Rattus norvegicus: one gene and its partners. The main gene of each other region encodes a partner of the protein of the gene in region 3 in a complex. Links are inferred from orthologs where the notes say so. Each region holds a gene or a part of one and is shown on either strand. Other genes may lie near its edges.

Region 1 (10,400 bases), on a different chromosome or scaffold from region 3:
TAATAGTGGCCTACCTCGCTCTCTGCATAATTTTCTTTCATCAAATAAGAAGCCCTCAAGTTGAATTTCAGTAGACTATATGATATTAGCATTATACATTTTTGTGACACATGTCAAAATCTAGTTTTAACCAGGACAACAAAGATGGATCTCTTCCAATATAAGGCATTTGCAAGAGGAGAAAACTGAGGAGGAACAGCCTGAGGAGGAACCAATTCAGACATTTAACCCTATCCATTAACACATGGAAATAAGTCACAAGCATGTATTTAGCAAGTCTTTGGCACAAACTTTGTGCTGAACATCAGTGTTCCTGTAACATTAACCTGTAAGTAATGCTTTTAAAGACTTAATCCTTAAGATGGGAGGAGTTCATTACCCTGTACTCTCTTCCATTTCTCTCCCAAACCAGTCTTATACCAGCCTAGGATCTGAACCCACTCATAGAATTCCACTTGGGACTGAGGAGTCTGCTCCATGGCTTACCAACCTCATGCTCACGCAGGATCCCAAACCTTTCTTTCTAGTCTGATCAGAGCAGGCCTCTTTCCAACCCCCAGGAAGGAAGCCCTAAGTTCTTATACCTTTTTCTCCATTTGTGATTTTAAGTTGCCTATCAGGCACAGCTAACTTTTTTAGTGAGAATATAGTGTATTCTGTGTACCAAAGGTATTTCTCCATTGATTATCTGGTGACAGCTTCTGTGCATTTTATGCACATTTCTATGTACCTACCTTCTTCTAATTCCCGAAATATTTCTAATTTAAAGGATCCTTCATAGATAACTAAACAAACCAAGCAACTTTCTTTTTCCAAGTTATAGCATGAATTGTGTCAAGTAATTTTCAGTAAGTTTTATTACTATAAATGAAGGCTTCATAATTTAAACATTCAACTTAAAATGTATCTCCTATTATTAGGAGTTATGGACTAAGCAAAATGGGAAGTTCAATTATCACCAAGAAAAGGAACACTCAGTTGCCCAGATGGCTCAGCAGGGAATGCAGGCTTGGTGACTTTAAGTTTAACCCCAAGAACTGAGTACTACACGTTTGTCCTCCACAACTGTGTGGTAGCATGCCACATGTACATATATGTGTACATACATGTATGTATACACACACACTTTTTAAAGGAAAAGGAAATCTTCACTATGAAGGCTATTTTAAATAAATGATAAATATCAAAACATATTGAGTTTAATGGAAATAATGTGAAGGATGATACAAGAATGAATGAGCACAGAAGACAAAGGAGAACTTGACCACTAGAACCAATCAGGCTACCAAGTCAGACATTTAACCCTATCCATTAACACATGGAAAGGAGGAGCAGGTAAATCAAATACCAAGTAACTCTACATTGAATAAAATAAGCAGAATGACATTCCTTGGCAGTGGTTCTACTACTATTTGCTTTGGATTTATGCTTTTGAAAATTATCTCAATACCCTGGGAAGTAGCTCAGTAGTGGGGACTTGCCTAGCATACGAAGTCTGATGCTCCCCTGGGTTCCATCCACAGCATCTTGCTCCAAAAATCATCCGAAGGAAAACCAACCCACTATATTGTATTTCCAGTTGTCTAGCTAGAAATACGTATGCAGTAGAGAAAAATTGGCAAAAAAAAAAACCCTAAAATGAACCACTTCTTAAAGATAATCACTAACGTAGTTACTTTCCAAAATACACTCCCACTCTTGAAAAACTTTTATACATATTAATTTTTAGTATCTTTGTACTTTAATATTCAATACAATATTACAAAAATGTAAGGATTTACCTAAACAATGCTGAAAGTCATCCACAATAACCCCAAACTGAAAATTAATGCATAAGAAAAAGGCATTAAGTCACATATACGGGGGTATTGCTAATCTATTGATCACTTTTTATATTGTTAACAAAATCCTTAAAAGCAGGCTATTTCAAACTATACATCATTTTGAAATTTCTGCTACAATTTATAAGTCTTGAAAAATCTTAGTTGGGGCTGAAGTGATGGATCGGCAGTTAAAAGCATTTCCTGAGAATACAAGATCCCAACATCAACATGGCAGCCCAGAAAACCCATACACACAAAAATAATTGCTTAAAAAAAATAATATTTATGGGCTGGAGAGATGGCTCAGTGGTTAAGAACACTGACTACTCTTCCAGAGGTCCTGAGTTCAATTCCCAGCAACCACATGCTGGTTCACAACCATCTGTAATAGGATCTGATGCCCTCTTCTGCTGCACTGTACAAAAGTGACTTATTTTAAAACATTACAAAGCACCACTTCTGGGAATACTGTTAGTAAAGCTCAAGATTTTCATGTTTCCTATTCCAATTTTCCCATTTTTTGCCATAGAAGGGAATCTTTTTCCCATTAGTTTACAAGTCCCCTTTGATAGTATAAAAAATAAATTTGCATGTAAAAACATTTTCGTAGTTTGTCATTTGCCTTTTATTCTGTTTACAAGATTTTACCATAAGAAGCTTTAAAACTCTGAATTGGTTCTTTTTTTAAAGTCCATATTTTTGGTATTATTATTAAGTTTCTCCACCCTGAGACTTGAAATTGATACTTTGTTATTAATTGATTTATAAAAAATTTTAAAAGACACAAGTTCACCTAAAATCACCACCATTTTAAAACTTTAATTACTTAAACTACTGCATACTTTATACATACTTAAATTAGTAGTCTGTTTTCTAAAGTATTTTCTGACACAGACCTTTAAAAAATTAGCTTATTAAATGAATTTAGGAATTTTTGCAAGGCCAATGAGTCATAACATTACACCCAATTTAACAATAGCCCCAATGTTCTACAACTGTTTATGTCTACACCATCACTGTCTAAGTACTGTCCAGTGTTTTCTGAAGGACCAGAAGAAGAAACTCATTCTTGGGAGCTGACCATAATTATGTATGATGCATTCTGTTGTAATGATCACAGACATCAATCTTTAAAGACGCTTTCATTTTAATCTCTGATAATCTTCCTTTAATTTCATATACATCAGACTTTCAAGGTGAGCTCTTGTTTAAAAGTTCAAGCTCTGAGATCAACATCTTGCTCTAACCACCTACTAGGGGTGTTATACCTTCATAGCCTTGATGAAAACTACCCAAAGTCCAGGACCCTTCTATTTTCTACAAGAAGGGTTAAATGTCAGTACTTAAACTTCACATGGCTTTGTAAAGATTTGAAGTGGGAGGAAGTACATGAATTTTGACATAAGCATTGTGACAGGTACTAGCGTCAGATTTGTTCCACCCTGCCCCTGGGTAAAGACAGCCTAACAGAAGAAACCACCAAGTATCATCAGAAATTAAGCACTGGTATAGTACCATAGACATCATGAGGACCTAGGGAAAGGTCCTAGACAGAATGGCAAGGCCAGCATTCCTGAGATGGAGATGCCTGAGCTATAAAGTGATAAGAAAAGAAAAAGAAGGATGTTAACCCAGAACAAATTAGAAGTGCAATCTAGCTGAAACGTGAGTGGAAGCCAGAGAGCGGAATCTTCCTTTTATCCAGATTTCACAAGGGAAAAATTAAATACTATCAAACTTGGGCTTTTCATAACCCTGGTGGTCAAATATGAAATGTTATATTATGTTCTTTAAGGTAGTTCTCCAATGTCTCGCTAGTTATGTTCCCAAGGAATCCATATATTTTAAGGACTTAAAAGTTAGACAGTATCACTTAAAAATTACCTTAGGTGTTTGCTGCCAAGTCTAAGGAACTGCTGCCAAGTTTAAAGAATCCCTGGGACCCATAAGATAAAGACTATGAAGGTTGTCTTCTGGCGTTCACATGTGTGCTATGGGGCATGCGCACATATTTTTTTTTTTATTAACGTGAGTATTTATTTACATTTCGAATGTTATTCCCTTTCCCGGTTTCCGGGCAAACATCCCCCTAATCGCACACATTTTTTTTTTTTAAAGATGAATTTAGAACTGTCCTTTAAAATAGATGGTTAACAGCTTTTTTCCTCCAAACAAACCTAAAGGTAAGTTCAAAATGAAACCACTGATTCTCATATTATCCCATGACTTCACTGATAAAGGTAAAAAAGACTAAGTAGGCTTTGAGACTTATGAAGTGCCCTAATAATTTTGGGGGGCCCTAACAAATTAAATCTTAAGAATGCCAAGTAACTACTGTTTGACTTAAAGTTTGTTCATTTAAACATAATTTTCCTTGCTGAAATGAAGGTACATTATCCCTTATCCTCTCACAGAAACTTTAGTACAACTGGGCTGGCCTATCTTTCCAGCAGGGAATAGCCTTAAATACTAACCTGCTTTACTTCAAAGGTAAAGGGGTAAACAAACTTGTTTTTAAAAAAATACTGACTTCTTAAATTAAAATGATTAATTTTAATTTTACAAACTGTTTGGATTTCCACAAAGAAACCTTGGACAATTTTTTTTTCCCTAGGTAAAGTAAGTACTTATCAGGTGAAAGGGGCAACACAAGAAAAATGAGTTTCACTCTAGGGAAGCATGCAACATAATAGTAAACTTGCACTTTTAACAAGATCAACAGCAACAATGACTATGTTTTCTGCAGCCAAAATTAAGGGGAGGAGTAAAACCCTAGGATTAATTTAATTAGTCAATAAAAAAAAAAAAGCCATTCATGGTACCACCAAGATCATGTTCTATGTTATCTGAGGGAGACAAAGTAAAGGACTTATTCCTTGTTTTCAATGATTTCATAGTCACACGTATGGGAAATAAGCCTACACTGACAAAATTAATTACAGCAAGAAGGTGGAGTTCCCTGAACAACAGAGTCTATGTAATATCTAAAGACACCTGGCCAAATTAGCTCAGACTTCAGATGTATGTGACATACTAGGAATTTGGGCCACACCTTCCAGGGCCTGACCATAAGGCTCAGGAAAGATGTATCTTACAAACACCCTAGCATATCTAAAATATTTGCTTTTGGGCAAAATAGTTTTTTAAAGATGATGCCAACGGGGGAGGAAAGAGAAAAGGTTAACATTTTTAGAAAGCACTTCAGCCTTTTCTCCCAAGCTTAGTAAGTGCTTCCCCAAAACCTCCAAAAATAGGCATAATAGACGATAAAGCAAGCCAGTGTTGTGTTGCATACTCAGAATTTAAAATGAGATGTAACTGTTTCAACTTACTATAGGAAGCAATAAATACAAGTTTTATGTAAAAAAATAATAAAAATAAATCTTAAAACCTTTTCAAACAAAGAAAGACCTTATATCCTTATTTTTCTCAACTACACTTGCTTCTCCAGAGTGTTAGGTTTAGGTCCTAGAAACTTGAAGTAAAAGGAATTTAGTTCCTCTTTTGTCACCCCAGTGCCTTTCTAAAACAGTAATTATTTATTCCATCCTTAGCTTTTGGCTGTTTTAATGCTACTCCAGCACAGAGCAAGCACACACAGAGCAACTAAAAACACTTGAACAACTTGACTGCATTTCAGCATGCGTGCCCTTACCACAAACCCCCAACGACAGTGAACTGCAAGTACCAACAGCGACCTCGTAGGAAAGGGGGAATCCTCTTTTTTGGCAGACCTAGCTCCCTTAACTTTGGGGATTATTAGACTCAAGGAATGAAGAGTGCAAGCGTCCCTTGCTTTCTTAATTATCTCCGGTGTAACACAGTGCACAGGTGACAGAAAGAAGGGGTTCTCAGGGCCACGCGGGATTTAAGAATAGAGACCCGCAGAATCTCCGGCCCCCGACTCGGTCCCCCTGGCCCGGTGCCCGGTTACCTTTGGGGTCAGAGCGCGCGCTCCCGCCGGGCCCGGGGACGCGCCGAGGCCGCCGCACAGGGCCCAGCTCGACTGAGGAAAGCTGGCGGACGCCCCGGGGCTCCGTTCCTTTCGAAAAGCACACCGCATCCCGGCGCGCCTGCTCGGCCACGCTCCCAGAGAGAACGGAGCCCGGGGCACCACTGTTACCCAATAATCATGCCCCGCACCGTCGCAACAATGAGTGCCCCGGGATCCCCGAGAGCACGAGTCCCGCGGCCCTGAGCCGCCCCGGCCGAGCGGAACCCCCAGGGCCGAGGGGAAGGGAGGGGTAACGCGTGAGGCGCCGAGGCCCGCGCCACAGGCCGCGGTGAGTCCGGCTTTTTCCCAGTGCGTAGCCGGGGCCTGGTCCTGCGAGTCCCGGCCCAGGCCGAGCCTGGCCGGCCCGGTGACTCAGGCCGGGCCTGCCGGCTCCGCTCCGCCCTCAGCGTCCTACGCCCACGATTTCTCCAGCCCGGCCGCCATTCCGCCTAGTCGCGGCGCCTCGGGCCTTGCCGGCAACCCGGGCTCGGACGCCGCGGCCCGAGTCACTGCGACGCCGCGGCTCTGCCCGGGCCTGCGCTGCCTCCCGCCACCGCGGCCCGAGCCGCTACTCACCCGCATCTCCGGGCGCCCCCCGACGCTCGGGCGGCGTGTAGTGCTCGCGGGGCCCGCCGAGGTCTGGCCGCGTCCCTCAGCGCCCGGGCTGCCCCGCCTGGAGCTGCGTGCGACACGGCGCCCGCTCCTCCTCCTCCTCCCCTGCCCGCCTGCCGGCCCTCCTCCTCCCGCCGCCGCCGCCGCCGCCGCCTGCACCACGCAACCTCCGCCCTCTCGCCGTCCCTCCGCCGCTCCCCGCCCTCCCGGCTTCACCGGCTCTGGCGACCGCGGGGCGAAGCCGTGGGGGAGGGAGGGCCGGAACGCACCGCCATCGGCGTCCGGGGCGGGGGAGCCAAGAAACCGTCGCCGCCATCGCCTGGCCAGAGGCAGCGCGGGAGGGGCACTGAAACCGCCCTCCCAGAGTCTCTGGCCGCCCCTCAGTGGCGAGGACCCGCTTCACGCAGGCATTTCTACCTGGGAGCCATGGCCTCTGCTTCCCAAACGCCGAACTAGGTCCCGCCGGACGTGCGGAATCCTCCGCCAGGTTTTCCCGCCGCCCTCGCGTCGGGGCGGCCTCTTAAGCCCCGGCTTCCCGCCACTTCGGACTTCTCGTGGGGGCCGTGCTGAGGTTGGGGGCTCAGGTCTCTGAAGAAACTTCCGGAAGCGGCTGTAGGAGAGGGGCTGCGACCTCCTCTGCCCCTCTCCTGCATGCACATCCTGGGAGCTGACATGGACTCCAAGTGCACCGAGCTGGATGTCTCCAGACCTGGAGTTGGAGTTGAACCAGTGGCAATATCCCCAACCGTGAGAAGAGAAAGTCAGATGGGCTGGCGGCCCCCAAATCAGCGCGGACTCCAGAGAAACGTGCCATTGCTTCTCCGACCCCCCTCCTACCTGCAGGCCTTGGAGATCCCCCTGCGAAAACCTCCAGCTTACTCACATACCCACGTGTCTGTGTGTCTTCCTCTTTAGTACTTTTCTCCAAACTAAAGTGGGCTTCTTTCCCTTTTAGATCCTTTTCACTTTCAGTGTATAAGGTTCAGTTCTGGAGAGTTGGAGTTGCGATTCCAACCTGGGATGGCAGGAAATAGTATTTACATCTAGAATAATCTCACCCGTTAGAAATCAGCTGCTGTCTTGTCTTGTGTTTGTAATATCCCATTGTAAATTTGGCAACACCCCACAGGTGTTTGTCCCACAAGTGAGAGGCTGGAGAAAGAATGGATTTACCCCGCACCTAGTTAAGAGGCAGCTGTTTTAATATCCTGGCTTAGATCTGCCATTTAATTCTGTGAACAAGCAAGGGAATATTTTCAGTTAGCCCATCATCTGGGCCAAAGATGTATTTGATGTAACTTCTGTTTTCACCTAACAAGAACACTACAGAGATTCTAATGCACCACTTCAGGACAGTCTCCTCCGCATACCTGCAGTCCCAGATCCACAGCCTGAGTCACCACCTGTATTTCCTCTCGAAAGTCTCACTGGTGTGTGTTCCAAGTTCTCACCTGTGGGTCGAGACCCATTGGACAAACTTCTCCAAAAACATTTACATCACTATTCATAACAGCAAAATTACAGTTATGAAACAAACAAAAATCATGTTCTGATTGGTGGGTCACCCAGTGAACTGTATGAAAGAGTAGCAGCATTAGGAAGTTAAGAGAACTGCTTGTTTAGTCCTATGGAACTGTGGCTTTTTGTCAACATCTATTACGTATTTTTAGGAGTGTTGTTTGTATATGTGTATACCAAATTATGTTTACGTTTGTCTGGGGGAAAGAGATTTTTATTTTTTTATATCAAACACCTCAATAACTCAGTCAAAAGAAACATGTTTTTAGTAACCTTTCTGTGGATACATGATGAAGATGGAGGTAAGAAAGTGGAAGGTTTGTCCCTTGAATATTTTGGCTTTTGTTTTAAACTGGATTCCCATGTTCAGAGATAACAATTTACTTCCTCTCCATATTTCCTAATCTGTCGTTCTTCAGTGTCATCATTCTATATGGTCTCCTTTTCTGTGATTTTTCACCTCTGGATATGTGTGTGTCAACTTGAGGGTTTTCTCCAACCCGTTTTGCCCTAAATATAGGTATTTGGTCTATCTGAATCCATCCCCAGTTCTCAGTCTCCATTCCTTGTTTTAAAGTCTTTTATTTACTGTCCATACTGTCATTTTCAGTGGCTGGACTTGTTCATTGACCTGTGTCCACTTTGCAACCAGATGGCATCTGTTCTGAGCAGACAGCCCTACCTAATAGGACAAAAAGATATAACTTTCATGCTCAAAACACACCTAATCTCCTCTATCTTAGCAAAACAGTTATCTTTTTGGATGAGCCAGTTTGGAAAGATAGTGACACCAGAATCAAAGTTTAAAACTGTTTCAAAGGTCTTTATCAGACAAAAGTCAATGAGATTAAAATATAGCTTTGTAAATTAGAAATATTAACGTAGTTGGAAAAGCTCAAGTTTTAGGTCTAAATAGCTATTTTTAAAATCCCTCATTGTGGAGGTTCCCATGAGTGGCTTCAGGTATGCCTTGGGGAGAGGATTATTTCTTAAATTTCTGTCAGCATTTTGCTGAATGAATGAACACTAAAGCCTGCCCACATGGTCACTGCTCAGACGAAAGAGCACCTAGTCACTTAAACAGCCACAGGAACTATTAGTCTAAGACGGGTAAGAAACTAGTCTGTGGAAAGTAACTGTATTTCACAGGTTGTCCCTAAACTGACTGGGCTTCAGAATTACCCAGAGAAAATTATAAACTTCAGGGCCCTTCCAGATCTAAGACCCGAACTTGGAAGGAAAAGAACAAAACCAGAAGCTGACACTACCAGAGTTTATATTTGTGTGAACCACTATTAAGTGGGTAGGTTTGAGCAAGCTATTAAACTACTCGTGTTTCATCCTCATCTGATATGGAGATGATAGTAGTAACTCATGGAGCTGTAATCTAAACATTGGTATTTCTGACAATGATGAAATTTGCTAAAGACCCAGAACCTGAGTTTGGGAACCACTCCATGTTCCTTCTGTCCAGGTTTTAAAAGTTATAAGCCTAAAACTTTCACTATTAAGCCTTATAACCTAATGATCCTCATTTGTTTTGAAGCTGCATAAGTTTTAATTTTTTATGTATGTGTTGAATCTCTTGCGCACTTTATAAAAGCAAAGCCTGCAGTTCCATGTATGAGTGTGTTGCCTAAACATACGTGTACTATCTGTGCATGCATTGTACTGAAGGAAGACCGGAAGAGGGTGCCTAAACCCCTGGATTTGGAATTACTACAGTTGTGAGTTACCATGAGTGTGCTGGGAATTGAAATTATGTCCTCTGCAAAAAGCTCTTACTTCACTGAGCCATCTCTCTAGCCTCCAAAGGAGTAAGCTGATCATAATGACAAATGCTCTTAATCTCAGGAGGCAGAGAAGGTATATCTTTGTGAGTGTCAGGCCAGCCTGTGCCACAAACAGACTGGGAGTCGAGTAAAAGATTTTTATTAATATTTTAATTGTGTGTACAATTTTGAAGACATTTTTGATTCCTTATGTATGTATTGGGAGTATGAGTATATATACACGTAAGTGCAGGTATCTGTGGAGGTCAGAGGTGCCTAATCCCTAGGGCTGAAGTTACAGGCTATGAACAGCCCTGTGTGGGTGCTGGAGACTAAAACTAGATCCTCTTCAAAAGTAGTACATTCTTGTAGGCTTTTGATTTTTCTCAGCCCTATTTTTAATACTGGTTCTTAATAAAAACCCAAGACCAAGAAGCTTTACAAAGCTAGGTATGCAAGCCCCTGTCACTGTCCATTGAGTCCTATTTATACTCCCTCCAAACATGTCTGTCCTCCATTGATCTTGCCTCACAACATGTCTTTCCTCCACATGAGTCTGTTATCAGCTGACATCACTTTGCCAAATAGCAGAAGTCTGAGGAAGTGGCAAGAAGCCTCCAGAACACCAGAAGTGTTTTGGTGCATTTCTCTATGGAGTCATGACAAATGGAGGTCAGCTAC
Region 2 (10,324 bases), on a different chromosome or scaffold from region 3:
AATCATCATGACTTCTTGCCACCTTGACTCAAAAATGCAAAACTGGTGATTTTAAATAAAGCCAATTGAAAGCTGGCTTCAAACTGTTTTCACACTAGACGAAGCAACATCAACAAAAACATCACCTTTTAAGAGTTTAAATTAAAAGTTTAAAGCAAAATCATTCTACTAAGGTCACAAGCTACTTCCGGAATTGCTTTGCAAACTCAAAACAGAATCGCGTATGAGAGTAGGTCTTAGGGCCAGCTTGTTCTCACCGTAAGCTCCAGCATCTTAGAGCTGTGGTAAGGTAATTCCGGCAAAGTAATAAGAACACAAAATGCCCCAAAACTGCACGTGTGAAGGCCGACCTCGCCTATAGCTACACTAAAGCAGGCAAGCTCCTTTACCTAACCTCAAGTTTTGTTCCCTATACACAAGTGCCCATTCCATGGAAAGCCATCAGGTCTCTCAGCAGACCTCAGCCTGCTGCATGCCATACCCACTGACACACACACATTTCATCTGATGTTAGCACCACTCCATGCACAGGCCATAGAAGAAAAGCAAAGCTCACTAATACAAAGCACAAGATAGAAGAATTTTAAGGCAATCCATAGGTAGCTTACTTACCTGCAGTTTGGCGGCGGGTCTAAAGTGATGTCTGCCAGCTCCTTCTGGATCCTGGGAGATCAGGAAACAAGGTTAGTCAGAAGCCCTTCCAGAATCAGGTCAGTAGCCCACCTTACCTCCACTGCGGAAGGAGAGGATACGCAGAGGTCCCAGGCTGGGGAGACTTCCCTGTGCAGGGGAGCAGCTTGCAGGCTCTCCCACCCTTGACAGCATAGGGCTTCCAATACTGCCAAGCACACAAAAACAGTTGCCTCCCGCGTTTTCCATGTAAACAGTTTGAGTCTCCCCTGGGATTCCCAGACCTGGGGCCCAGCAGTGGTTGTCCAGGTCTGGTCTCCCTGCCCGAACCTGGACCTCTTGCTCCCTAAACAGTGACTCCACACAGCAGCCCCACCCCCAGGCCAGGCCCATCGTTCTGAGTCTCCCAGCAGACCACTACTCCGTCAGGTACCCTCCACACCCCCCCCCCCCCCCCCGGTCAGGCCAGGACCCTGCACACCAGCGCCCCCTGCAGGCCGGGACCTGCCACATCAGCGCCCTCAGCAGGTCAGTGCTGCTCAGACCCAGACCCTGCCCGCACCGGGACACAGTGGCCTGCCGGCAAAGCCAATATGGCCGCTCGGGGCCCTAGTGACCGCCACCGTCAAGGGTCGAGCGGCCCAGGAAGTGCTGGGTGGAGCCGAGGACCGCAGGACCCCCAGCGGCCCCGCACAGGTGCACGGCCGCCTGCACCCTCCGGGAGCACTGGCCCGTGCCCAGCCCCGGACTTCCCGGCCGCCCGGGCCGAGGACAAGCTTGCTCGGGCAGCCCCAGCCCTGCAGGCCCGCATTGGTCTCTCCGCACCTCCTCACCTCACAAAGAGCCCATCCCCCACCCTTAGGCCGAAGCCACTGACAGTTCATACCGGGCCCTGGCCTTTGTCTTCTCTTCTGCTAACTCAGGCGCTGAGGGCACCAGTTAAAACGACAAACTTTGGGGCCTTAAGCTACTTCTCCTAAAGGGAGACTATGTATGACTTCTCATCCTAACGGGCAACTTAAAAATCCACCAAGGCAAAAAAGAGGACAACAAGCAAACTCGGCGATCTGAATGACAATGGGTGTTTTTCCCTTTCCAGTGGTTTTCAGAGGGTAAGAAGAAGTCTGCTATGAAGCTCTGACATTTTTAGCTGGTACTTCTTCCGCGTTAAAAGTAAAACAAATTGAGTGGTGCCTGGGGAAGTTCTTCAAAGTTTCCTATTGAAGAGACTTCCTGTCCCTCCAAATGTGGTCCCGTTTAGAACATCCAGTCTCTACTGACATTATTAGTGTCCTGCTAAATTCTACCACTTCCAGTAAGAATCCTGGTCCCTTTAGGCTTGCATCTGGTGTTTCATTCCCAAATGGATGTTAGTTCGGAGGACTAGCTTCCAGATTCCTGTACGTGTTGGAACTAACCATTTTCAGATCTGAAAGCAAATGTGTCCCCCTGAGCTGTAAAAGGAACAAATTGCTCCTTTAATGCTTAGAAGGTGAAGCTTTTAAGGCTGGTGATAGCTCACAGCTAAAGATGCCTGGATCCTACCTGATGACCCCAGTTCAATCCCTGGAATCTACAGCGGAGAAAAGAGAACTGTCTTCAGCAATTCGGCCTCTGACCTCCACAGTGTACCCTGACATGCCTGACATACATACATGAATACACACAAAATAAAGCTATAAGCTTTTTTAAACTCCAATACCACCGAGTTTTACTCACTGAGCCTCAAACGTCACCATCTGCAGCATGTCCAGACACGAAGCCAAGGTCTGCAGTGACTCAAAGGCCTGTTCAAAATGTGGGTCTAGCTCTGTGTACTTCCTGCTGGAGACCATGCTCCATAGTGAATGAATCCCCTTATTCTGCCCACATAGGTTTCCTTTTCCACCATCTCCTGGTACACATGACCTTTCCAACTTCATTAGGAAGTTCCAAACCAACACATTTCAACCCACCGTCCTAACTTCTCCCTTTCATCCTGTCCTAGACACCCTTTCCACTTTTTGTCTTTCGATGTTGACCTAGCTCTCCTTCAACGCACACAGCCACTGCTGGAACAAGTTCTCTAGGCGTCTAAACCTGCTGCATTCAGCACACTGGCTTGCAGGTAAAGCCGTCACTTGCTGATCCCCAGCTGCCCTTCCTACTTGCCATGTCTCTTTACCAGCTGCTCCCAACTTGTCCCTCGTAGGCCAGGCTGACAAGGAATGGCAGTGGCCGTCCATCTAGTCCCAACGGTTTTCTAAGGGTAGGAACTTCTCCAGTCAACATTCAGTGTCCCCTTTGACAGGAGAAGAAGGTCCAGCTAAAGGCAGCAGGGCTCAGTGCATTATACTTGGCCTCTTCCTACCCTCCAGAGACCTTGAGAAAGGAAGACTGATCCTACCTGGCATAGCCCTGGGATTACAGGCCTGTGCTACCATTCCTGGTGGTGCTTCATGCCTGTTCGGCCAACACCCTCCCATCTGAGCTACCACAGTTTTACACTTTTTGCTTGGTATTTTGCTCATGAGACAGAGTGTCGTGGAACTCTCCCTATAGAACAGGCTGACTGAACTCACAGGACATCTACCTGCCTGTTTCCAAGGGCCGAGCTAATCAAAGGCCTGTACCACTACACCCAGAACTAAGTTTCTAGCCTTCTAAGCATACAAGACAAGCTATATCTATGGAGAAATCTATTTATTTGTGCTATACTGATAAAATGCAAACTACTTTCTATACCTGTCCATTTTCTTCCTAACACAGTCACAAACGCACCGATTTCTAGCTTAATGCAAAAGCCCCACTGACATCACAGCTCATGTCCTGCACTAGGGCAGGACAGGCCAAAGTGAAACAGAGAGCCTAAGAAGACAGAGAGTGACCAAGAAAGGCCATCCAGAGCAAGATGGATGGACTCTAGGCTCAGGGAGATTCTCGGAGGTCATCAAAGACCCTGGAGGGTCTGAGATATAACCAAAAACCAGAGAAACCCAGAGCAGTTTTATCAAAGCATCAACACTGCTCTCGAGACCTGAACACTAACCATTTAAAATGACTGAAGTCACCATATATCAGTCCGGTTAGGTCACTAAGACAGCACACCAAGTTTCTGAATTTCAGGTCAGGGAAAAGGACAGATGAGACTGTCAATCTCTGAGTGCCAGGCTCACTACTCAGCAGAGAGATCCAACGCCATCTAGACCTTCCACTTCATTTAAATTCTTTAGAGAATGCCCTTCCCCACCAGCCCACAGTTTCTGTTCCTTACTATGGCCAACTATCTCAACAAAAAGAGGAGTTATGAAAGGACGTCAGGGAGTTCCCAGGTACCTGCTAGAGACTATTTTAAGGATCACAGGGATCAGAGAATGTGACTTAAGGTCGACAGAGGTAAAGTATATCTACCTGCCTTTTTACACAAAAGACTATCGCTGGCTGAAGTAAGTGACTCACTTCTGTAACCCCAGCAATCAAGAGGCTGAGACAGAAGTTGTGCTGAGTTCAAGGCCAGTTTGGGCCACAAGAGACCCTGTCTAATAAACAAGTCTTCCTGAAAAGTATCAAACTGAAGTTCTTAAACAGAAAAGGAAAAAAAAAAATCTCCCCAAAATACCTGAAATAAAATAAGTTTACAGTCACTCAGTGATTCTTTCACTACCTCAACTCTCCAAACAGGCAGAGGCTCTTCAAATGCCGCCATAAAACATCACGTAAATTTCTTTAACCACTAATGGGAGTTAGTTATTCCTTAAGTAATGTATGGGGGGGGGGGGGAACCCAGTTCAGAAAACACAACCCCTGCAACAGGTGAAGAGGAAGAAAGATGGTCAGAACTCGTCTTGACAGAATTGCCCAGGAAGGTATGCTTAATAATGAAGTATGATGACAGCCTCTAGGAAGTCGTGATTACTAGAACGAGGACTCTGAAATCACATTGCGAGAGTCACTCATAAAAGTAATGAGGATTCTTGAAACTCCCAACAAGAAACGGACGAGGCCAACCACAACTCCTGCTTGTGGACATGGGCTTTAACAAAACCAGAAGCAGCGAGCAGGAGAGAAAACAGGTGGGACTCCCGTGCCCCATTTTCCTGCCTGAGAACGTCGTCGTTGAAGCCTCCCTCCCTGACATGCAGCACGAGGCGACCGGGAAGCTAGATGTCTGTGGAGAAAGGAGTGGGATACCTCTTGGCACTGGTGGAGAGGAGCTTCGAGTTTTTGCTCATGCTGACTTTACTCTCCTTCTTCTTGGGGGTGCTGCCTTCTTTCTCGGTCTGCTGGTTGGAGGACGAAGATGAGGAAGAGCTGGTGCTGGCCCTCGAATCGTCATCCGACATAGCGAACCCCCCACCCCACCCCGCGAACGGCCCCTGCAGGGGGAGGAAACAAAACAGAAACACAGACCATGCAGGCGCTGCAAAGAGGGAACTCCGCTGTCAGGAGGGCGCGGGCCGGGCCGCCCCCGCCGCCCTGCAGAGGCTCCGGGCCCACCGCCGCACCGGCCGAAGAGACGCGGGGGCCGCGATCGCGCGGGGGGTGGCCTGAGGAGGGCCAGGAGCCGTCGCCGCCGTCCCTGAGGCCTCCCGGCGTCCGCTCGAGTTTGGTGAGGTCCGGACGAGCCGAGCAGCCAGAGTGGGTGAGGAAGCCGAGCGTGGGCCGCGTGGGCCGCGGGGACACGGCGCCCGGCCAGGCCCGGCCACGCGGGGCTGCGCTCGCAGGCCGGCGCGCACAATGCGCCCCGGGCGGGCGGGTCCCCGCGGGGACCGGGCCCCGCTGACAGTTCGCGCGGCCCCCGCCGCCCCGGCCCGCCGCCCCATCCCCGCCGCCCGGCCCTGCTGCCTGTGGCCCGGCGGTGCCGTCCGCCCCCGGCCCCGCGGCCCGCTCGCCCGCCCCGGGGGCCCCCCGCACCTCTCTTTGTGTCTGGCTGCTCCGTGCCGCCGCCGCGGCTGCTGCTGCGGCTGCGGCTGGGCCTGGCCACTCGTGTCTCGCTCTCGCTGGGAGAGAAGCGGAAGTGCAGCAACAGCAACTATTAACCAGGCAATGGCTTCCCCGGCCGCACACGCTCCGCGCCACTCCTCCTCTCCGCCCCGCCCCGCGCCCCTCCCCCGCCGCACCTGGGGGCCGCGGCCCCAGAGCCCCGAGCGACCCCGGCGTGGCCTGGGGACCGGGCGCCGGGCGGAGCCGAGGCAGCCGGGCGGGATTGGGAGACGACTGGGCCCGGTGGAAACCGGGGTGACCAGGGGAAGTTCTTCCCAGGAGGGCTTTAGGGAAGGGCTGGGGGGTGAGATGGCCGGAGAAGGGAAAAGGTGGTACTCTCCTGGCGAGGACTTTGACTCCTCCCCAAAAGTGATCCGTTTGTAAAGAAAGGGGGGGAAAATCCCCTAACAGGGTTTTCCTTTGGGCTGACACTTGTTCCTCCCTCTGGCAATTGCGTGCTTGGAGCAGAGGTCACGCCTGTGAGAAAAAACCCAGACGGGTTTCTGTTTAGGACACACCAGGCGTGTGCAATTTTACACTAGATACCCCCCTCCCCCCTGCCCTTCACTTCTTATAGAGAAGAATGTGGACTTTTTTTTTTTTTTTTAATGTATGCGATTGGAGTTCGTGACAGATAACCACGACCCGGCATGGGATTGTAATATCACTGGAAATAAACCATGAGCCGATGATTTTTGACAGGATTTGGAATTCTTAGATTAGATATAATGTCTGAGTCTTAGAAATTGGAAAAAAAAAAAGTTCTAGAAAGCACCCTACTTTCTCTTTACTCCAATATGATGCTATTCAAATAATATTTTTAGAATAGTTACACAGTAATGTCACTAAATTGTTCCTTGTGTGGCACTGTACCGAAGTTTATTTTTAAAAACATCCCACCATTAAATTAGGACTTCGTTTCTTACCTGTTTGTCGTTTACCCTAAAGGGAACAGACCCCTGCCATCCAAGTACAAGGTCCACACACACAAGATCTTGTGTCCTGGGCAGACAACTGCACTCAGATTTCCATGGTCCACTTTAAATGACCTCATTCAAATTGCCTCCCATGGCAACCCTGGCTTCAGTTACCACACAGGATATAAAGAAAGCTCACCGACAGTAGCCAGGAGAGCAGGCATTCTCACTACCCAGCTAAACCCCTTCTAGCTGTCCATCTGAAACTCCAGCTGTGTTAAGATTCATAACGTAATTACACACTTTATTCCACTCAAATCTTCAAGGAAACCTGCATCTAGTAAGAGTTGTCTTCAAATCGTGTGTAAGATTAGTGATAAGACCTCTCCTAGGCCACCATTTGAACCTCCTTCAACAGAAAGAACCCTTCCTCTACTACCCAAAGCAAATGATTTGCCCCGTTTGGGACAGAGTTTCTCTGTGTAGCTCTTGCTGTCCTGGAATTCCAGACCAGGCTGGCCTGGAACTCACAGAGATCCACCTGCCTCTGCTTCTCAAGTGCTGGGACTAAAGGTGTTCACCACCACTGCCAGGCAAACATAAATTTAGAAGAAATCTCCACAAGTGTTTTGTTTTGTATGTGCTGGAAGAGCTTATCAATGATAATACCAGCAGGTCATGGTGACTCAGGTATGGGAGGCATAGGCAAGCAGACCTCTGTTGAGACCAGCCTGATGTGTATAGCATTCTGGGCCATCCAGCGATACATATTGAGACCCTGTGTCCCCCCCCCCCCAAATATTACTAAAAAGTCAGTAATGAATAAATAAAAATAGCTATGTATTCAAAAATATTCTGATGTAAAGACTGCTATTTTAAAACTTTTTAAATGTTTAAGATTTTATATGTATGTAGACCAGGCTGGCCCTGAGCTCACAGTTTTCCTCCTCTTCCTCCTGAGCACTGAGATTAAAGGCACGTAACACACCTCCCAGCTTCCAGCTCTCTACTTTTTTCTTTTGGCAGTTTTGGGAATTGAACCCAGGTCTTTAGCATGTGTCAGATAAGTTCTCTACACTCCTACCTAGACTGACTCGTGTTCACAGTTCCAAGGCCTAAGAATCTAAACTGATCTCCTAGGAAGAAAGAGCATCAGTTTCCTCATGTATAAAGGGCAAGAATGCCCACATTGTCAAATGCTTATCTATGATAACATGCTCTATTAGTCATTGCACAAAGTAAACGAATCATTCAAACCTGGGAGCCTAGGTTGGATTTTCTAGGTTTTTTTTTTTTTTTTTTTTTTTTTGGAACATGGGATCTTTAAGACCTGAAATTGATTATGAGTATTTTATTAGAAAAATGCTTGTCAGGAGTTCAAAGCCTTCCTCAGTTATGTGGTAAGTTTGAGGCTATGCCACATGAGTCTAGGCCTGCCTCAAAATAAATAGACAAATTCGAAAGAAAGAAAGAAACCTTTCAAGAGGAAGACAGAGTTGAGGAATGAGGATTTCCATGTCTGGAGGGGCATAGACTGCTTTCCAGTTTACATTCATGGTTCAGTTGAAGAAAGGAAGGTGGAGAAAGCCCACGGATCTTCTTCAAGGTCATGCGGTACAAGCTCGATGCCTTGATGTCCACACACGGCCTTGTCAGTTCTGGCAGTGCTGGTATAGAAGAAGGCCCTCGGTTATAGTAAAGAAAATATATTGAATATGAAAAGCAAGCTCGGATAATATTTTAAAATGCACTAACTGTGGGTGGGTGTGACAGAATGTGCCCAAAATCCCGGCTTCTGGGGGAGGGGGGGAAGCCGGAAGATGAAGAAAGAGTTCAAGAGTGGGAGGGGCAGGAGGAGTTCTAAACCAGTCTCTGCTACAGAGCAAGGTCAAGGCCAACCTGGACTACTTGAGACTGTTTCAAAAAAGAAAGGAAAACTGATTATTAACAAAACCAACCAAGTGAGCTGAGGAAGTCACAGAATCTGTAACATTTACTTATTATTAAAATACACTAATGTCCTCTATTCAAGTTCTCCATCCTGAAGATAACCATCACTACTTATTCTATATTTATGGATGTTTTGCCATGTTTTTTTTTCTTAAAAGAATAAGCAATAACTTACCTACTTCCCCCAATTCCCAATTTCCCCAGAGGGAGCTGTTTTCCTGTAGTGGGCTCTGGGAGTGCAAGCAAATGCCTCAAACCCATTAAGTGCTATGATTGGATTGCTCAATTTACAGTAAAAAAAAAAAAAAAAACACAAAGGAAATTAAGGAATTGGGATGTGACGTCCCACAGGCGTAGTGAGCCTGGCTCCACATTTTACCAAGTTCAGGTTCAAAGCCATGCTGAGCCAAATAGGAAGACCTTGTCTAGAAAACACACACACACACACACACACACACACACACACACACACACACACAGAAAGAGAGAGAGAGAGAGAGAGAGAGAGAGAGAGAGAGAGAGAGAGAGAGGAGTTCAAAAACAAGCAAGGAAATGGACATTTGCTGATATAGCTGGGAATGGTGTCACTCAAAAGGCTGAGACAGAAGGATTAGTATTATAAATTCAAGGCCATCCAGTGAGTTACAGTTCAACTTGGGCTATAACATGAAACCTTGTCTTAAAACCAAAAAGAAAAATAGCAAGAAATTGGATAGACAGATGGGTGATAGGTAGATAATTCATGTTTTCCCTTTCTTTTTGACTGCTTGTGGTTTAGGCTTGTTTCATTCTTTGCTTTCTGTTTGAGACTAGGTCTCCCTGTGGAACCCAGGCTGGCCTGTACCTTGTGGTCCTCTTGTCTCAGTCTCTCAAGGACTGGGATTATAGGAGTTTATCACCACATCAGTCTCTCTTAACATAGTTTTTAAAACTTTCTTGAGTCCAATAGAAAAGATTTCCTTCTGTCAACCAAACAAACAAACCATCCTGTTTGGAATTTTATAAGGGTTTCTTCAAAAAGGACTCACCTCAGGTTTCTGTCCACCAGCTTCCCTGTATAATCTCTGATGGCTGAACAGTCTGGGGGCCTTTTTGTCTGATTTCATATTTTGTTCTTTAAAAAAATATTTGTTACCTATTATATCTGAGAGTTCATGTGTGTGGCCTCTCTTTCTTCCCTGTAGCTCCCAGGGACTGAACTTAGGTCATCTGGCTTGCTGGGCAAGAACATTTACCTGCTGAGCTGTTACTGCCCCCCCCCCCGCCCCCAAGAGAAGGAATGGACACAAAACAAAGCCTGTTTTCAATTTGGATGGTTTTCTCATAGAAAGGGAGAGGTAGAGGAGGAGGGAGGGGGAGGGAGGGGGAACTGACAGTTTCGAGCTCCTGCACCCACTTCTCTGATGCCACCACAAGAAGCTAGGACATATGTTATTTTTTTTTCTACCACATGGAGGCATTGGACAATCATGAGATTCTTAGAACTCAGTAAGGCTTGATAAGAGTCGTGATCTCTCAGGCAAGGGCAAAAGGCATATTTACTGTCTGAAGGTGAGCAGAAGCTATCTTCTCAACATAAAATTCAGCACCTTCTGTTTGGAGGCCCTCTCTAAAGTAAGTAGTCTTCGTTCATACATGTGAATGTGTGTGTTCATGTATTCTTGTGTGTGTGTGTGTGTGTGTGTGTGTGTGTATGAGAGAGGGAGGGAGGGAGAGAGAGAAAGAGAGAGAGAGAGAGAGAGAGAGAGAGAGAGAGAGAGAGAGAGACAGACAGACTCTCTATGTAGCCCTGGGTAGCCTGGACCTTGTTATGTAGCCCATAACAATTAAATTCACAAGATCCACCTGCCTCTGCCTCCTAAGGG
Region 3 (10,459 bases):
AAGATGAGGAAAAACCTTCATCCAGTCGCTGTAGACTGACCCAGAGGGAAGGTGGCTGCCCTAGATCGATTTCATTCTGCTTAGTGACAGAAATAATGATGCAAACAGATGGAGCAAGGCCCTGGTCCACTGCCCTCAGTCCAGACCTAGCACCTCATACACTCACTCACCACAACTCCAGAGCCTGTGTCTCCTCTCCTCTGTTCCTCTGTTAGTAAGAAGCATCTCTTGTTCTGCCCATAAAGGCCAGTACTTTATAATCTTCCTGTTAGAAGTAGAGACATAACAGGTCTGCTGGGAACCAGATGCAAATCCAAGAGATTTACGCAGCTGACCTTGCTGAGGTCCCTGAGCTCTAGGCCAGGCAGCTCTGAGAGTTGGTGGGAAGCATCAGGTGAACGCTTCTGTTTCTGCTGATTTCCTGCAGGAGGATGCTCAGACACCTCCTATGGAGTGGCTATTTTTCCAGAAAACCCAACCCCATGAATTACAGTGACCTATGGAGGCAAGCTTATAACAAGAGACTGAGGCACACACTCTGTCCTTCTAGAGAAGGGAGCATGAAGAATGTCTACACATAGAAAACATCAGCATAGATTCTGCCAAAAAGGAAACAGGGTAGCCAGCAATACACATCCATGATTTAGCCCTGGGAAACTTGCAGAAGAGGAGGAAAAAATTCTCCACTTAACCCCAAGGTGCTGCTTAGTAAATGACGGTGTTTGAAAGTGAAGGTACATTCATGAAACAAACATTCTTGCTCAGTAATGCCTTGGAGATTGTCTGCCAAGCATGAGGTAGTGAAAAAACTTCAAGGATATTTATTTCCAGATCTGTCACCAAATATGCAATTATGAGCAGGTGACTTCCTTGATACTTGATCTTTATTTGTATGTTATAGGTGATGATTGCTTCACAGAATCTTTAATTACTATGATTAAGTTAGGATATATGGGACTGGGAGACAGTGTTCTTCCAGAGGACCAGAGTTTGGTTCTCAGCACTCGTATCTGGGAGCACAGCTGCCTAACAACTCCAGCTCCAGGGCATCCGACATCCTCTTCTGGCTTCCATGGGTGCTTGCCCAAACGCGCACAGGCACGCATGCACACACACAAATGTAATAAATCTTGTTTTCTCCAACACTCATTAAACTTGTTTATTTCAGAGACCTTTACTTTATAAAATGACTTTCCACACTGTCTTTTAAAAATCAAGCTTCACATAAATTTTTTCTTGTTTATTAATTGAGAATTTCCTACCTGCATATACCGTGTTTTGACCAACTATGGTCCCCAGTCCCTATCCTTTGATCCTCCCCGACTCCCTCACTGTTTTCCCAGCCAAACTCATCCACTTAAAGTTTTTCCTTAAGAAACCACTGAGGCTTTTAAAACTTAAATAAATTAGAATATGTAAGGCTCTTAGAAAAGAACCTATAAACTTTACACACACTCCTTTGAATTAGACGTAAGAAGCTAAGAGCTGGCTTTGGTGGCCTATATAACAGCTTATATCACATTAACTTCCCCCTACTCCATGGTTGTAGAGGAATTTTAATAAGTTTTATATTTTGGACTTTATCAAACTAATTCAAAGAGAGAGGTTTCACCAGCTCTCCAGGCCTACCGCAAGCCAACTGGTTGACAACTGAAATTACTTTCATACTCCTTGAACTCTTGTTTATGTCATTTTGATCCATTATGCAGTCTTAAGATTTTAGTTCCCTTCACTTCCTGTGGGAAGTGAAAGGAGGAAGTTGGAGGTCCCTGGAGGAAGTGGAGGTGCTGCCATAAATAGTATATAAAATAAATCATATAATACACTCTATCATTATATATCATGTTACTCTTAGCCTGATTTTTTACTGTATTGAGGAAAAACTTGAGCAGTTTTCTAGTGAAGTTTTTTGCATTGTTTACATTAAATATTATTTATATTAAACCAATTTTTCTAACAAAATAAGTAATATTCCAGCATATCTGTTTTCTCTCCTACATTATATCTTCCAAGCACCACCATTTTCAACTTGCTCAATTAAGCTCTTTCCAAAGAATTACCTGTAACAACTAACTGTTTTATATTTAAGGAGTCCTAACAATAGGGCTATGGAAACCATCATCTTGAATGTGAATTGTCAGAAGAGGTGGTTGGTAAAATTGGGGCATGATCTGTTGAGAGAGGAGGTACGGCAGCAACTTGGAAATCCCATCTGCTGCAGTCTGAACATCTGTATCTTAGTGAAATTAATAGAGTGAGATGATGATGATGGTGGTGGTGGTGGTGGTGGTGGTGGTGGTGGTGGTGGTGGTGGTGGTGGTGGTGGTGATGATGATGATGATGATGATGATGATGATGATGATGACGATGACGACAATGACGATATATGACTGTAACAAGAAGTGAGGCTAGGGATTAGGATCCTTAGACTCCCCAGTGAATGGAATTCTTGAGGGGAGGGCAGTAATGAGGGAGGATGGGGAGGGGAACACCCCTAAAGAAGGGGAGGGGGAGAGCTTAGGGGGATGTTGGCCTGAATATCAGGAAAGGGAATAACATTTGAAATGTAAATAAGAAATACCCAATTTAATTAAGATGGGGAAAAAAGATGCAAAGAGAAGGCCTTGTCTTTGAGGAAGAGATCAAGTCTGAGACGAGCAAACTTTTGCTACCTTACTTCGGACTTCCATATTTCACAATTATAAAAAAGAGACTTATGGGTTTTTATGAATTGGTCTGTGACATTTTATTATAGGAATCAACAAATGTTTTAACTATGAGAGTAAAGGGCTACCCCATAATTCTGATACACTGTCAAAACCAGCAACTGGTCAACCCTCTGTCATCTTTCTTGTGCCTCTCCCACACCCATTGGTCCTTTCCTGTTCCCAGCTGTCCTCCTTCTACTTCTGTATCTTTGGGGCTTCTTAGGTCACTAAGTTAGAAATGAGTAAAGAATGCTTTTCCTGTCCTGGACAGAGTGGACTTGGGTACCACTGAGACAACTTGGGTTACTGAAACACATTCAAGTTAGTAAAGCCTGACTAAAACCCAAAGCATAAATATCTCACTTCACCAAAACACTGATAATGTACTAGACAGTCCTATCAATGACATTAACTCTTCCCAAATAAATACTTGAGTCATTTCGCCCAGGGGAAGGAGGGTTGAGATATCAAAGTACTAGCTGAGAGTGAAGGAGATTTTGTTCTTCAGGAGTTTGGGTCTTCAGATAATTACCAAGGTGGGAGCTGAGGCAGCTATGAGTATATTACATTGGTCATCCTGTGTGCACATTATAGAGTATTTATCACCACAACCCTAGGGTGTGTATTAATCTCTCTATCCAGTGTGTAAACTGAAACAGATAAGGCGTCATCTAGTGGTAAATAGAAAAATAGACATTGACTCTACCACTACCTTATTTTGGGACCCAAGTTCTTTGCCTGCAGGAAATAGCGACAGATCTTCAGTGGTGTGAAGCAGAATCATTTTCTGATGTTTGCAGATGCCTTTGTCCTTTCAGATGCTTGACTCTGTTTTTCATTCTGCTTCCTGGAGCTGTTGTGTTCCTGGAATCAAGTCCCAATACAACAGCACAATCTAGACAGTAGATGTCGCCTGGTGACCTTTTACTGAGAAGGATCTCTTAAACAGGGCTGGAAATTTCAAAGCACGGAATGCTTTTATTTCCTAAATATGATAAATGGCAAGGAAAATTCACCTGATGGTTTTAGCGCAAATTATAATACAATCAATGTCCACAAGTCTCCCTTCATTGCTACAACACATACCCTAACATCATTAGGAATAAATTTCTCACCCTAGACTATTTGAAAAGAGGGGAGCAAAACGAGAAGACAGAGGGATGGGAAATGGGCATATGTCAAGCATACTGTGCAATTAATATATGTTAACAAAAACAGTGCCAGGATCTTTCACCCGGATTTTAAAGAACTATCAGTCTTGTGGGAAGATCCCTCTAGAAAAGATAGTAACTCCTCTCCCATCCAGACCTCTTCTCCCAGATGCTCCCAGGTTTGAAGTAAAGACCAGTGTCAAAGGTCGATATCCTGTAGATTACAGTCTGTTAAAGGTGACAAGGAGGCCTTAGAGAGACTGCACCCAAGAAGACATTAACTGAGTTTTCCTTTGCCTGTGGCCTGAAGTCAGTTTCTGGCACCTCTGACCACTCTCCTCCCACTCTCTGCCCAGTCTCCGCCCTATCTGCCTCCAAGGCTTGCCAGTCAACTCCCTGTTCCTCCCCTTGCTCCTCCCTCTTCCTTCTAAGCTTACCTCTGAGAGGAAACTGAAAGTGAAATTAGACTGCGGGCTTGCAAAAGTGAAGCTGAAAACAGCCTAGCCAAGTCTGAGGACCCTGGTAAGGTGAGTGAGGATGGGACCCCTGGCCAGACTAGATGGGCTCCCCCCACCCCACCCCAATGCCACAGATTCAAGGAGCCGCTTCCCACTAGCGCCCTACACACGGAATTTCCTAGCCCACCTGCTGCTTCTCTTCAGCGGAGTTCTCTAGTCCCAACCCTGCCAGGCTGCCCGTGCTTCCCTGTGAAAGCTGGTCTCTGAAATTGACTTTCCTAGTGCCATGAGCAGGAGAAGCAGGGCGGTGACCTAGTCCGGGAGGGAGAGGGGAGGGGGGAACTCGGGGAAACCCCAGCCCCTTGAAGACCCTCGATTGAGGAGAGTGCTAGCCACTTAGAAATTTCAGTGGGTTTAAGATACTCAGCACCCTAAAGGAAGTTGAGAGAAGTACTAGGCTTGGAGGAGCTTAGAGAAGAGCCCAGGGAGTGCTCCCCACAAATGTCAATAGATGAGCATACATACATATTCTGTACATAGACATTTAGATAGAGGAACGTATGGGCATGCCTACATTGATGCATTTGTGCTCAAGTGTAGCTTACAATGGAACATATCAGGGTAAATAAAGACATCAATTTGTGTGTGTGTGTGTGTGTGTGTGTGTGTGTGTGTGTGTGTCTGACACACACACACACACACACAAGCCTAATAACTGGGAAATATACTCTTAGATGATGTACTCAGGATAATGAATGCACATCTTGAAGTTTTTTTATTGGATTTTTTTTTATTTTTATTTCAAATGTTATCTCTTTCCTGTTTTCTCTTCCATAAACCCCCTATTCCACCTCCCCTCCCCCTTCTTCTATGATGGTGTTCCCCCGCCCACCCCTTACCACCCGCCTGCCCAGACATTTCCTACACTGTGATGTCAATTCTTGGCAGGACCAAGGGCTTCCCCTCCCATTGGTGCCCCAAAAGGCCATCCTCTGCTACTTATGCAGCTAGAGCAATGGGTCTGTCCATGTGTACTCTTTGGGTGGTGGTTTAGTCCCTGGGAGCTCTGGTTGGTTGATATTGTTCTTCCTATGGGGTTGCAAGCCCCTTCAGCTCCTTCCATCCTTTCTCTAACTCCTCCAAAGGGGACCCCACTCTCAGTTCAATGGTTGGCTGTGAGCATCTGCCTCTGTATTTGTCATGCTCTGGCAGAGCCTCTCAGGAGACAGCTATTTCAGGTTCCTGTCAGCATGCACTTCTTGGCATCAGCAATATTGTCTAGGGTTGGTAGCTGTATGTATATATGGTCTGGATGCCCAGGTGGGGCAGTCTCTGGATGGCCTTTCCTTCAGTCTCTGCTCCAAACTTTGTCTATATATTTCCTCCTATTAATATTTGTGTTCCTTCTTCTAAGAAGGACTGAAGCATCTGCACTTTGGTCGTCCTTCTTGAGCTTAATGTGATCTGTGGATTGTATCTTAGGTAACCCAAGGTTTGGGCTAATATCCACTTATCAATGACTGCATACCATGTATGTTTTTACTGATTGACTTACCTCATTCAGGATGATATTTTCTAGTCCAATCTATTTGCCTATGAATTTCATGAAGTCATTGTTTTTGATAGCTGAGTAGTATTCCATTGTGTAGATGTACCACATTTTCTGTATCCATTCCTCTGTTGAAGGGCATCTGGGTTCTTTCCAGCTTCAGGCTGTTATAAATAAGGCCGCTATGAACATAATGAAGCATGTGTCCTTGTTATATGTTGAAAAATCTTTTGGGTGTATACCCAGGAGTGGTATAGCTGGGTCCTCAGGTAGTACTATGACAGTTTTCTGAGGAACCTCCAGACTGATTTCCAAAATGGTTGTAATAGCTTGAAATCTCACCAACAATGGAAGAGTGTTCCTCTTTCTCCACATCCTCGCCAGCATCTATTGTCACCTGAGTTTTTGATCTTAGCCATTCTGACTGGTGTGAGATGTAATCTCAGGGTTGTTTTGATTTGCATTTCCCTGATGACTAAGGATGTTGAACATTTCTTTAGGTGCTTCTCAGCCATTTGGTATTCCTCAGTTGAGAATTCTTTGTTTAGCTCTGAACCCCATTTTTGATAGGGTTATGTGGTTCGCTAGAGTCTCACTACTTGAGTTCTTTGTATATATTGAATATTAGCCCTCTATCAGATGTAGGATTGGTAAAGATCTTTCCCAATCTGTTGGTTGCCATTTTGTCCTAATGACAGTGTCCTTTGCCTTACAGAAGCTTTGCAGTTTTATGAGGTCGCATTTGTTGATTCTTGATCTTAGAGCATAAGCCATTGGTGTTTTGTTCAGGAAATTTTTTCCAGTGCCCATGTGTTCGAGACTCTTCCCCACTTTTTCTTCTCTTAGTTTGCGTGCATCTTATTTTATGTGGAGGTTCCTGGTTCACTTGGACTTGAGCTTTGTACAGGGCAATAAGAGTGGATCAATTTGTGTTCTTCTACATGAGGACCTCCAGTTGAACCAGCATCATTTGCTGAAAATGCTATCTTTTTTCCATTGGATGGTTTTGGTTCCTTTGTCAAAAATCAAGTGCCCATAGGTGTGTGGGTTCATTTCTGGGTCTTCAATTCTATTCCACTGGTCTATCTGTCTGTCTCTGTACCAATACCATATACTTTTTATCACCATTGCTCTGTAATACTGCTTGAGGTCAGGGATGGTGATTCCCCCTGAAGTCCTTTTATTGTTGAGGATAGTTTTTGCTATCCTGGGTCTTTTGTTATTCCAAATGAATTTGCAAATTGTTCTGTCTAACTCTATGAAGAATTGAGTTGGAATTTTGATGGGGATTGTACTGAATCTGCAGATTGCTATTGGCAAGATGACCATTTTTACAATATTAATCTTGCCAATCCATGAGCGTGGGAGATCTTTCCATCTTCTGAGATCTTCGTCAATTTCTTTTTCAGAGACTTGAGGTTCTTGTCATACAGATCTTTCCCTCTCTTGGTTAGAGTCACAGGGAGGTACTTTGTATTATTTGTGACTATTGTGAAGGGTGTCATTTCCCTAATTTCTTTCTTAACTTGTTTATCCTTTGAGTAAAGGGAAGCTACTGATTTGTTTGAGTTCATTTTATATCCAGCCACTTTGCTGAAGTAGTTTATCAGGTTAGGAGTTCTCTGGTGAAAATTTTGGGGTCACTTAAGGATACTATCATATCATCTGCAAATAGTGACTTTTTTGACATCTTCCTTTTGATTTGTATCCCTTTGACCTGCTTTTGTTGTCTAATTTCTCTGGATAGGACTTTGAGTACTATGTTGAACAGATAGAGAGAAAGTGGGCAGCCTTGTCTAGTCCCTGATTTTTAGTGGGATTGCTTCAAGTTTTCCTCCATTTACTTTGATGTTGGCTACTGCTTTGCTGTTTAGTGCTTTTACTGTGTTTAGGTATGGGCCTTGATTTCCTGATCTTTCCAGAACTTTTATCATGAAGGGGTGTTGAATTTTGTCAAATGTTTTCTCAGCATCTAATGAAATGACTATGTGGTTCTTATCTTTAAATGTGTTTATATAATGGATTACATTGATGGATTTTCATATATTAAACCATCCCTGCATCCCTGGGATGAAGCCTACTTGATCATGATGGATGATCATTTTGATGTGTTCTTGTATTCAGTTTGCTAGAATTTTATTGAATATTTTTGTGCCAATATTCTTAAGGGAAATTGGTGTGAAGTTCTCTTTCTTTTGGGGGTCTTTGTGTGGTTTAGGTATAAGCATAATTGTGACTTCATAGAAGGAATTGGGTAGTGCTCCTTCTGTTTCAATTTTGTGGAATAGTTTGGATAGTATTGGTATGAGGTCTTCTATGAAGGTCTGATAGAATTCTGCACTAAACCCATATGTCCTGGGCTTTTTGTTTGTTTGTTTGTTTGTTTTGGTTGGGAGACTTTTAATGACTGCTTCTATTCCTTTAGGAGTTATGGGACTGTTTAGATGGTTTATCTGACTGTGATTTAACTTCGGTACCTGGTATTTGTCTAGAAAATTTTCCATTTCCTCCAGATTTTCCAGTTTTGTTGAGTATAGGCTTTTGTAGTAGAATCTGTTAATTTTTTTTAATTTCCTCAGTTTCTGTTGTTATGTCTCCCTTTTCATTTATGATTTGTTAATTTGCATACTGCCCCTGTGCCTCCTGGTTAGTCTGGCTAAGGGTTTATCTATCTTGTTGATTTTCTCAAAGAACCAGCTCCTGGTTTGTTGATTCTTTGTATAGTTCTTTTTATTTCTACTTGGTTTCAGCCCTGCCATCTACTCCTCTCGGGTGTATTTCCCTCTTTGTATTTTAGAGCTTTTAGTTGTACTGTCAAACTCCTAATGTATGCTCTCTCCACTTTCTATTCAGAGACACTCAGAGCTATGAGTTTCCTCTTAGCACTGCTTTCATTGTGTCCCATAAGTTTGGGTATGTTCTGCCTTCATTTTCATTAAATTCTAAAAAGTCTTTAATTTATTTCTTTATTTCTTCCTTAACCAAGTTATCATTGAGTAGAAAATTGTTCAGCTTCCATGTGTATGTGGACTTTTTGTCGTTTTTGTTTTTATTGAAGTCCAGTCTTAGTCCATGGTGATCCGATAGGATGCACAGAATTATTTCAATCTTCTTGTATCTGTTGAGGCCTGTTTTGTGACCAATTATATGGAAGATTTTGGAGAAGGTACCATGAGGTGCTGAGAAGGTATATACTTTTGTTTTAGCATGAAATGTTCTATAAATATCTGTTAAATCCATTTGGTCAATAACTTCTGTTAGTTTCTCTGTGTTTCTATTTAGTTTCTGTTTCCATTATCTGTCCCTTGATGAGAGTGGGGTGTTGAATTGTCCCACTCTATTATTGTGTGAGATACAATATATGATTTGAGCTTTAGTAAGGTTTCTCTTACATATGTAGGTGCCCTTGCATTTGGGGCATAGATATTTAGGATTGAGAGTTCATCTTGGTGGATTTTTCCTTTGATGAATATGAAGTGTCCTTCCTTATCTTTTTTGATAACTTTTGGTTGAAAGTCAATTTTATTTGATATTAGAATGGCTACTCCAGCTTCTTTCTTTGGACCATTTGCTTGGAAAATTGTTTCCTAACCTTTTACTCTGAGGTAGTGTCTTTCTGTCACGGAGGTGTGTTTCCTGTATGCAGCAAAATGCTGGGTTCTCTTTACGTATGCAGTCTGTTAGTCTATGTCTTTTTATTGGGGAATTGAGTCCATTGATGTTAAGAGATAGTAAGGAATAGTGATTGTTGTTTCCTGGGTGATGGTGGTGGTGGTGGTGGTGGTGGTGGTGGTGGTGGTGGTGGTGGTGGTGGTTGTTAGAGGTGGAATTATTTTTGTGTGGCTCTCTTCTTTTAGGTTTGTTGCAAGAAGATTACTTTCTTGCTTTTTCTAGGGTGTAGTTTCCCTCCTTATGTTGGGAGTTTTCCATCTCTTAACCTTAATAGGACTGGATTTGTGGAAAGATACTGTGAAAATTTTGTTTTGTCATGGAATATCTTGGTTTCTCTATCTATATCAATTGAGAGTTTTGCTGGATATAGTAGCCTGGGCTGGCATTTGTGTTCTCTTAGGGTCTGTATGATATCTGCCCAGTATCTCCTGGCTTTCATAGTCTCTGCTGAGAAGTCCAGTATAATTCTGGTAAGTCTGCCTTTATATGTTACTTGACTTTCCCCTTACTGCTTTTAATTTTCTTTCTTTGTTTTGTGCATTTGGTGTTTTAACTATTATGTGATGGAGGAATTTCTTTTCTTGTCCAATCTATTTGGAGTTCTGTAGGCTTCTTATATGTTTGTGGGCATCTCTTTCTCTAGGTTGGGGAAATTTTCTTCTGTAATTTTGTTGAAAATATTTACTGGCCCTTTAAGTTGGGAATCTTCACTCTCTTCTACACCTATTATCCTTAGGTTTGGTCTTCTCATTGTGTCCTGCATTTCCTGGATGTTTTGGTTAGGGGCTTTTTGTGTTTTGCATTTTCTTTCTTTTTTTTTTATTAACTTGAGTATTTCTTATTTACATTTCGAGTGTTATTCCCTTTCCCGGTTTCCAGGTCAACATCCCCCTAACCCCTCCCCTTCCCCTTCTTTATGGT

Evidence for each region.
Region 1: Trim21 (region 3) and Cul1 share a complex: the UniProt entries of both Homo sapiens proteins name them as parts of the SCF(SKP2)-like complex. The link is inferred for Rattus norvegicus from reciprocal best matches to the Homo sapiens genes TRIM21 and CUL1.
Region 2: the proteins of Trim21 (region 3) and Ube2e1 are in contact, whole or in part, in a crystal structure (PDB 6FGA), measured with the Homo sapiens proteins. The link is inferred for Rattus norvegicus from reciprocal best matches to the Homo sapiens genes TRIM21 and UBE2E1. Residues at the interface, in NP_003132.2 of Homo sapiens: Pro17, Ile18, Cys19, Leu20, Asp21, Glu38, Cys39, Gln42, Val43, Pro52, Arg55; in NP_003332.1 of Homo sapiens: Lys43, Lys50, Arg51, Lys54, Pro107, Phe108, Asn138, Trp139, Ser140, Pro141, Ala142, Thr144.

Annotation. Positions count from the first base shown.
Region 1 is NC_086022.1:77,548,364-77,558,763, reverse strand, and holds the start of Cul1 (cullin-1), read right to left. Parts: upstream 6,940-10,400; 5' UTR 6,847-6,939; intron 6,531-6,846; exon of another isoform or gene 6,394-6,530; intron 5,999-6,393; exon of another isoform or gene 5,758-5,998; intron 1-5,757. UniProt on the Homo sapiens protein: Core component of multiple cullin-RING-based SCF (SKP1-CUL1-F-box protein) E3 ubiquitin-protein ligase complexes, which mediate the ubiquitination of proteins involved in cell cycle progression, signal transduction and transcription.
Region 2 is NC_086033.1:9,865,925-9,876,248, reverse strand, and holds the start of Ube2e1 (ubiquitin-conjugating enzyme E2 E1), read right to left. Parts: upstream 5,708-10,324; 5' UTR 5,524-5,707; intron 5,434-5,523; exon of another isoform or gene 5,433-5,433; coding exon of another isoform or gene 5,115-5,432; exon of another isoform or gene 5,023-5,114; coding exon of another isoform or gene 5,020-5,022; intron 4,986-5,019; coding exon of another isoform or gene 4,953-4,985; coding exon 4,801-4,952; intron 664-4,800; coding exon 613-663; intron 1-612. UniProt on the Homo sapiens protein: Accepts ubiquitin from the E1 complex and catalyzes its covalent attachment to other proteins. Catalyzes the covalent attachment of ISG15 to other proteins. Mediates the selective degradation of short-lived and abnormal proteins.
Region 3 is NC_086019.1:166,393,236-166,403,694, reverse strand, and holds the start of Trim21 (E3 ubiquitin-protein ligase TRIM21), read left to right. Parts: upstream 1-4,323; 5' UTR 4,324-4,386; intron 4,387-10,459. UniProt on the Homo sapiens protein: E3 ubiquitin-protein ligase whose activity is dependent on E2 enzymes, UBE2D1, UBE2D2, UBE2E1 and UBE2E2.